Linked DNA regions of Daphnia pulex. The protein of the gene in region 1 purifies or fractionates together with the protein of each later gene. This does not show direct contact. Links are inferred from orthologs where the notes say so. Each region holds a gene or a part of one and is shown on either strand. Other genes may lie near its edges. The genes, in order: derlin-1-like and E3 ubiquitin-protein ligase TM129-like.

Region 1 (3,521 bases):
ATTCGTGAATTTTTCCGATTTTTTCAACGCAAATCAGCTGACGAAGGAAGCAGCACATTAGGTGGTTTAAATGCCAATATCCCTTTACCTGCTACCGGAGAAGAAGCTATGCATCGTTTATTGGCTTGCAAAGGAAGAGATCCATACAGCATCCTGGGTAATTGGATGTAGACTTCACATTTAATTGACATTTTCGCTATAGATTTTATTTCTCAGGTGTTCGACGAGATTGCTCCGACGAAGAGATTCGACGTTACTACAAGCGACAAGCTGTTTTAGTTCACCCAGATAAAAATCGACAACGGGGAGCTGAAGAGGCCTTCAAAATCTTAGCGCATGCCTTTGAATTGGTTGGTCAGCCAGAGCGACGCAGCCACTACGACCAATTAGTACAAGAAGCAGACGAGATGGAATCTGCTTGGGCCGAGCTCAACGAGCTACTCTCACGGTTGCATGCCAAAATGGACGAGGCCGCAAACACGATTCGGTGCACCAATTGTGCCAAGCGTCACAGAAGAGTGAAAACTAATCGGCCTTGCTATGCTGCTCGATATTGTCAGGTACATGTAAAGTGCGAAAATAAAAAATTTCCTTTTTTCATTCATTTTGTTTTTTAATAGGATTGCAAAATTCATCATTCCGCCCGCGAAGGGGACCTATGGGCTGAATCACGATACATGGGCTTTCGTTCTAAATACTACGCTTGCATGGAAGGTGCCGTTTATGATATCACAGAATGGGCAAATTGTCAGGTATTTTACTTCGTTTGTTCTATGTCTTGATTGTTGATTAAATTAGTATTAGGTCTTGTCTAAATGGAATAAATTTTTTAAATTTAGGCTGGACATCTTCGTCATTTGCAATCTAATTCTCATCGCGTTCAGTACCGTATAGTTCCCGGCCAAGGGCAACCGAGCAGTGGAGGTGGCCGTAAATCAAGTTGATTCTAATAAACGCCTTATTGTCTTCAAAATTATGACATTGATCATTTTTGTTGTTGTTGATTTCTATTGCTAAAGTGTCCTATCGGGTGATTTGTAACTAATACCTTTGGTGCCTTTTTTTTTCAAACAATTTTGCTTTGTCTGGTATTTGGAAATTTTCTTTTGTCGTAGAATCTCGTAACGAGGTCCCCCCCCCCCTCCCCAATGATTTGTTCCTTCCTTCCCAGTTTAATACACATGGTAACTTATCTGTGTTGCCATCAGATTAAGCATGTGTTGAGAATTTGTACAGTTTAATAAGGAAAGTTTTTGTCGACAACCCGGTATCATACGATTCCTTTGCGTGGTAAAATAGTTATTCTTCTTTTTTTCCCTTTAAAATTAATATGATTAGTTTTTATTCGACTCGTTGCAGGATGCATTTCGAATCTGGAATCTGTCTTCTACCACACATTTGCTTTCCTGCCTTTAGAAACACAAATTATGAGGAAAAACAGTCATACTCATAACGCTAATCGTTTTAAGGATTTTCTTTATCGTTGGTAGTGTATTAACTGTTTCGGTTCAACTGCGCCGAGCACTAAGGTCTTGGCGAATTAATTTTATTGAATAGAAATCAATAGTCCTATCATCATTCTAATTATACTAACCTTTTTTTTTTATTTTTATTTTATTCTTTTCCATTGGTGATTCATAGATGGCATTGGAGGGGATGACTGTGCGATTTGATTTTGGGTTTTGGCCTTGTTTTGTATTTATCCTCTAATGACACGTAAGTGTTCGTCTGCTTCGATTTGATCTTGACTTGAATTCGATTGAGATACACATTGTTCTTTGATACATTTCCTTTCAGATAATTTGGAAAAGTGGCTTGAAACCTTTTTAAAGATGAGTGAGCTAAGCAGCTGGTTCAAAAATTTGCCTATTTTCACAAGGCATTGGTTCGGACTAACTATTGCGTTGTCACTAGTTGGCAGATTTGCCATTTTGAGTCCAAAATATCTTATCTTGGATTACCATTCTATATTTGAATCATTCCATGTAATATGTTGTAGTTGAATATTTTAGAAAACATCATTCTTATTCTTAAATTGATTGTTCAATAGATATGGAGACCAGCAACAGCATTATTTTATTATCCAATAACACCAAAAACAGGATTTCACTTTCTCATCAACTTGTATTTCTTGTATAACTATTCTCTTCAACTTGAAACTGGACTGTTCAATGGGCGACAAGCTGACTACTTTTTCATGTTGCTATTCAACTGGATTTGCTGTGTCATAATTGGACTCCTAGCTGATTTTCCTGTAAGTATTTGGTTTCCTGATTCCGACTACATGTTGCTTCCTAAAAGACCTCATAATAACTACAATAACAATAATTTTTTTCTAGTATTTGATGGATCCAATGGTACTGAGTGTACTGTATGTTTGGTGTCAGCTAAATAAGGACACAATTGTCAATTTCTGGTTTGGAACACAGTTCAAGGCAATGTATCTTCCTTGGGTCTTGCTTGGATTTAACTTGATCATTGCTGGAGGGTAAAGAAACTGCAAATAATGTAATTTGTGATATACTAAATTCTTTTACTACAATAGTGGAGTCATGGAACTTGTTGGAATTGTCGTGGGACATTTATACTTTTTCCTCACGATGCAGTATCCTCAAGAATTTGGTGGTCCTTTGCTCTTAACTACTCCGCAATTCCTGTAACACGCCATTTTATTTATTTAACTTTAGCAAATATGTTAAATACTTCGTCTTTCAGATACAAATATTTTCCGAATCAACGAAGCGGAGTACAAGGATTCGGCGCGGCACCTCAACCTAGGGCTGAGTTTAGAGCAGCTGCACAGGATGCAGGTCCTCGACGCTATGACTGGGGACGTGGAAATGTTTTGGGTGGCCAAAACTAGCCTCACAATGGCCAAAATTAAACCCCGATTCTAATGTTTTGATGTGTTTATGTTAAAGAAACGATTATCGTCCCTCCTCCCATCAATTTCTGGAAAATGTATCCCTTTAATCTTAAGAGAAATTTAAATTTACTAAATTTGTCTCACTCTTTTATTCATATGTATTATTTGTACGCATGATTCCCAGATGGCTGGAATTTTGCAAAGAAAAACCTCGATTCATAGATTTCGCGATTTTCTTGTCTCACATACACGAGATTTCTTTTAGGTTGTTTTGGGGTTCAGGGTCTATAGGTTCTGCAGGAGATTTTACGTCGGTGAGATCTGTTTTCGTTTTCACTTTGGTCATGTTGCTGAGTGTGTCAACCAAATCGATAATCACATCATCTTCGCTTTGTAAGCTGGACTTCAAAGTCGCTTTCAACTTATCCAGAATCGTGAGTTCATCAGACCAGTTTTCGTCAAAATTTGTGCGGTCAGGAGAATCACGGTAAAATTTAAGGCAAGCTTCCTAATTTAGCAAAATGTTAAATAAAGATTGGTTGTAATGTCATTAGAGAACTAGTAAAGTTTGCCTTACCAATTTAGGGACTACGTCATCTTTGACGGTGGCGTCATACACAACGTTGTATTGCATGGCCATAGGACGTCCAAGTTC
Region 2 (3,858 bases), on another chromosome or scaffold:
TTACGCATAGAGAATGTAACTTGAACAAACATTGAACACAAGTGAATAAAAGCGACAGGGAATTATTTCCGCTTAACCGTGACGAGGCAAAAATGATAATCAATGAAAGCAACGAACGCAACGCTTTTCTTCTTTTTTGTCTTTAAAATATACAAAAAGGGGTTCCTGACTAACTGACGTGTACAATTTTCGAATAGTGTTGGTCTGTTAATCAGTGGCTTACCGGTGAATTCAAGCGCCAGCTTTCGAATTAGTTTGCGTTTTTTCTTGGAAAAGGATAGGACGGTACCCAGAAAATCTGAATGGTGTACGTGATGTTTGCGCGGACAGGACTGTGTGGCGCACTCGCTGGGGGTGCCTGTCGGGAAATGACTGGGCCTTAAACCCATGTGTACCCACCTTGCCATATAGATCATATTCGACGGTACTGTAGCCCGTTGAAAGCAGTGTATCTAGCTAGTGGGGTCCGGGATTGTGCATATCAGCACTACTAGATACTCTCTCATATGCTAGTGCGCAAGTCGCCTAGATGAAATTTCGGGGAGGAGACAACACACACACATAAAACCACCCAACTTTTTTTTCCCGTTCTATAATAGTTCATCAGACCGTACCCTAATGCGAGCCATATTTTTCTTTTTTTCGTGAAAAAAGCTTACTGTCATATTCATTTACAGCCATTTTGTTCAGATAAGACTGTTGGCCACTGGCGAGAGTAATATTTTTATTTGTTTAACAAGTCGTCCGCAACTTGTAGCTCGCGTATCGATCTCCATTTCCAATTAATCCACCGCATTCTTTGAGATAAAAATATTGTAGTACGTTCGCTCCAACAACTCTTGACAGTGTTTTCTAGTTGATTTCTGCTTTTTTTGGTAAAAAGGAGGGCAACAAAAAATTCTCAATCTAGATGGAATTTGGAGTGGGATTGATAAGGCCATAGGAAAATAGGCCTACGTGACTGTCATTTGTTCTGCATGAACGCATAAATTATGTATATACAAGATAAGCTTAACGAATATTTTAGATCCATCGTCTAGCAACTGTTACGTAATTCACGAATTCAAATTCATTTCAAACCACGGGAAATGATTGAGCAATCTTACGGTTATCAAAAATGTACCGATGAAAAGAGAGAATTTAAGACGGACATTTTAAACAAAATTAATATTTTAATAATAATTAATAATGACCACTTACGAAAATGTTTTCGGCTGAATCTCAGTCGAGGAGACATAGAGATGAGGGGTAACTCGATCTTTTCTATGATCCGTGGTTGGAGTTCCGGTGGGATTCTTGTAGTCTTTAAACAATGTCCCAATTTGATGGATCGTCCTTTTTTCTTAATTTAATTATTTCCCGATGAACACATCAGAAGTCAGAACCGATCGGTATGAACCGACTGATCTGACTGATATTTCTTTTCAACCAAAGGTCGACTGCTAGCCCTACAGTTGCGCCACGTTTTTATTTACTTAATTTTTTGTTCTGATTATTATCACTAGTTTTTGAAAATTGCAATAAAAGCATTTGGGTGGTGGTCTCGTGTGTGTCCTATCGCCTACGTAAAAACTAAAAATCCAACCCACAACAAAATGTGAACCGAGTAGAGCCGTCTGCTAGTTGGTTTATTTACTCTTTGCTGGTGGCAAGTGATGACGTATTGAGAAATACTCGATCGTATCTCTTTAGTTGTTCATTCTGACTCTAGAATATAAATTATTGTTACTTTTATTTTATTTGAAATTGTCCAACCGGAAAGGGAAACCCTACAAATTTATCGGGAAGCTATGATTGAATTCACGGTTTTCTATTTAATTTTCGTGTTCTGCTTCATTTTCCCTCCAAGTGCGTTTGTTAGTGCCGGCATAACGGTTTCAAATTTATTTGATTCCTGGCTCGGAAGTGAAGACCTTCAGTTTGTGCAGTACCATTTAAGTCGAACATTGGTTACTGTAATCATCCACAGTCTCCTACCACTCGGATTCTTTGGTGGAGTCCTTCTTGTTGAAGGCTATGATCAGCTGTTGTTATTAGTACAAACTCCACTTGGACTAGGATTTCTCAGCTTATCTGTTCTCCTTCCAGCAGCTGCTGCATTCAAAGTATTTTTCTGGTGGACAAACAATTGGAGTTCTCACCCACTTGTAAATTCATTGACCTCTTATGCAAATAATGGGAGACAGTGGAATGATGTAGCATCTGAAATCAATGCTGAATTCAGAAGGTAAATAAATCGTTAGTTATATATCTGTAGTATAAATTAATGTATACATGTTGAAAAACGAGTAAACAGTTGAATTTTAATAGGATAGACAAGGTCACAGTCCGCACCAATCCAGTTTCTAAAACTGTTGTGACCAATTCCTGGATTATCAAAGTTGAACCTTATGTGGTGCAAGTAGCACATCAGAATCATGTAACCTTACAGCTGGAAAATGCTGAAGAACACACATACACTGCTGATAGTCAAACAGCTCAATACTTGTGGGTGAATGTAGAGCACATTCAAACCAAACAAAAATTGTTTACCATTCGTCTCAACGCCGTTGACTATGCAGACATGCAAGACAGACTGCAAACTCGTATCAGTAATGTTCGGGGATTATTAATTAATCAGGTATTCACATAATATTAGGTACGATGTTTCGAACACACATTTTTGATAAAGTTTTTTTTTCCTTTCAGGACGTTCATGCGCGTTTTTCTAAAGTTTTCATTGAAGAAGTTAGCTTGAACCCAGTTTTTCAAAGCCAAGAGGTATTTTTGGTAAAAATATTGATTCTGACATGTAATACAAATTTAAAAAGCAAATTTAGGAAATGGATCCGTGTTTAGGCTGTGCAGTCAACAGTGCAAATATCCGTCTAATACGAAGATGCTTGCCTACCGGAAATGCTGATGGTTGCACTCCGTGTTTTTGTAGACCCATGTGGTGCATACATTGCCTTAGTAAATGGTACGTAACTTCGAAATTTTTAAATCATGTGTCATGTTATTTCATGTGTGTCTTTGATAGGTTCTCCGCCAGACAAGATGCTGAACATCCTGAATCGTGGTTAATGTCTCGCTGCCCCTGCCCAACATGTCGCAGCCCATTTTGCGTTCTCGATGTTAGTTTAGTTGAAACCGTAGAAAATATTTAAGTTGTCTTTTTTTTCAAATCATGTTTCAATAACAATAAATATGTTTGCTTAACTTGGCTGATTATGAGGTACTGTACCGTTGGTTATGAAGGTCACATCCTGGATCACCAGCTTCTGCTCGTCATTATTTGTTTTAACAAACTGATAAACTGTAATCGAGATGTCGTAAGCAATAATCGTATGTTTTACTTTCTGTCCCCTAACTCTCCAACATATCACAGTATTCTATTGCAAACGCCTATCCAATAGATATCGTTATATCTATCCAAAATATCTATAAATCTGAGCCAAGAATTCATATGGATTATAGGAAAAGAAAAAAAAACATTTATTCAAAGAAAATATGTCAAGCAAGTTGAAATTATTTCTTCTTCGGTTTCTTCAGCTTTCGGACTTCTCCTTCCTGGTTAGACAGAGATCCTAGCAATTCCTTAACTTTGCGTTTGCGCTGATTGTCCCTGCAAAATTGAATGGCGAATTAATAACACGTTGCTATACAATAGAAAGTTAATTGCTCCATACTTTTCTATTTGCTCTTTGAGCTTCTCTCTAGCGATGAATGCATTGTCCTTGCGAATTTCTCGTATGGCTCCCTTCATCTCTCGCTTAATCTTGTGTTGCAATTTATCACGTTCCAGCTTTTCTTTTGAACCAACTCTTTTCTTCCGCCCTTCAAAGCTACAAAAAGATTATTAACTTGAGGACTTTTCTT

Evidence for each region.
Region 2: the proteins of derlin-1-like (region 1) and E3 ubiquitin-protein ligase TM129-like purify together in Homo sapiens (affinity purification with western blotting; 3 studies listed by BioGRID). This does not show direct contact. The link is inferred for Daphnia pulex from reciprocal best matches to the Homo sapiens genes DERL1 and TMEM129.

What each region holds. Positions count from the first base shown.
Region 1 is NC_060018.1:4,694,318-4,697,838, reverse strand, and holds derlin-1-like, read left to right. Parts: upstream 1-1,716; 5' UTR 1,717-1,832; coding exon 1,833-1,985; intron 1,986-2,050; coding exon 2,051-2,254; intron 2,255-2,339; coding exon 2,340-2,488; intron 2,489-2,545; coding exon 2,546-2,656; intron 2,657-2,715; coding exon 2,716-2,863; 3' UTR 2,864-3,004; downstream 3,005-3,521. Other genes in the region: dnaJ homolog dnj-5-like, read left to right, coding at 1-157, 217-560, 621-752, 840-944; MPN domain-containing protein-like, read right to left, coding at 3,108-3,374, 3,444-3,521. UniProt on the Homo sapiens protein: Functional component of endoplasmic reticulum-associated degradation (ERAD) for misfolded lumenal proteins. Forms homotetramers which encircle a large channel traversing the endoplasmic reticulum (ER) membrane.
Region 2 is NC_060024.1:10,069,972-10,073,829, forward strand, and holds E3 ubiquitin-protein ligase TM129-like, read left to right. Parts: upstream 1-1,602; 5' UTR 1,603-1,790; coding exon 1,791-2,227; intron 2,228-2,310; coding exon 2,311-2,620; intron 2,621-2,688; coding exon 2,689-2,760; intron 2,761-2,819; coding exon 2,820-2,959; intron 2,960-3,019; coding exon 3,020-3,146; 3' UTR 3,147-3,198; downstream 3,199-3,858. Other genes in the region: nucleolar protein 14-like, read right to left, coding at 3,508-3,604, 3,669-3,824.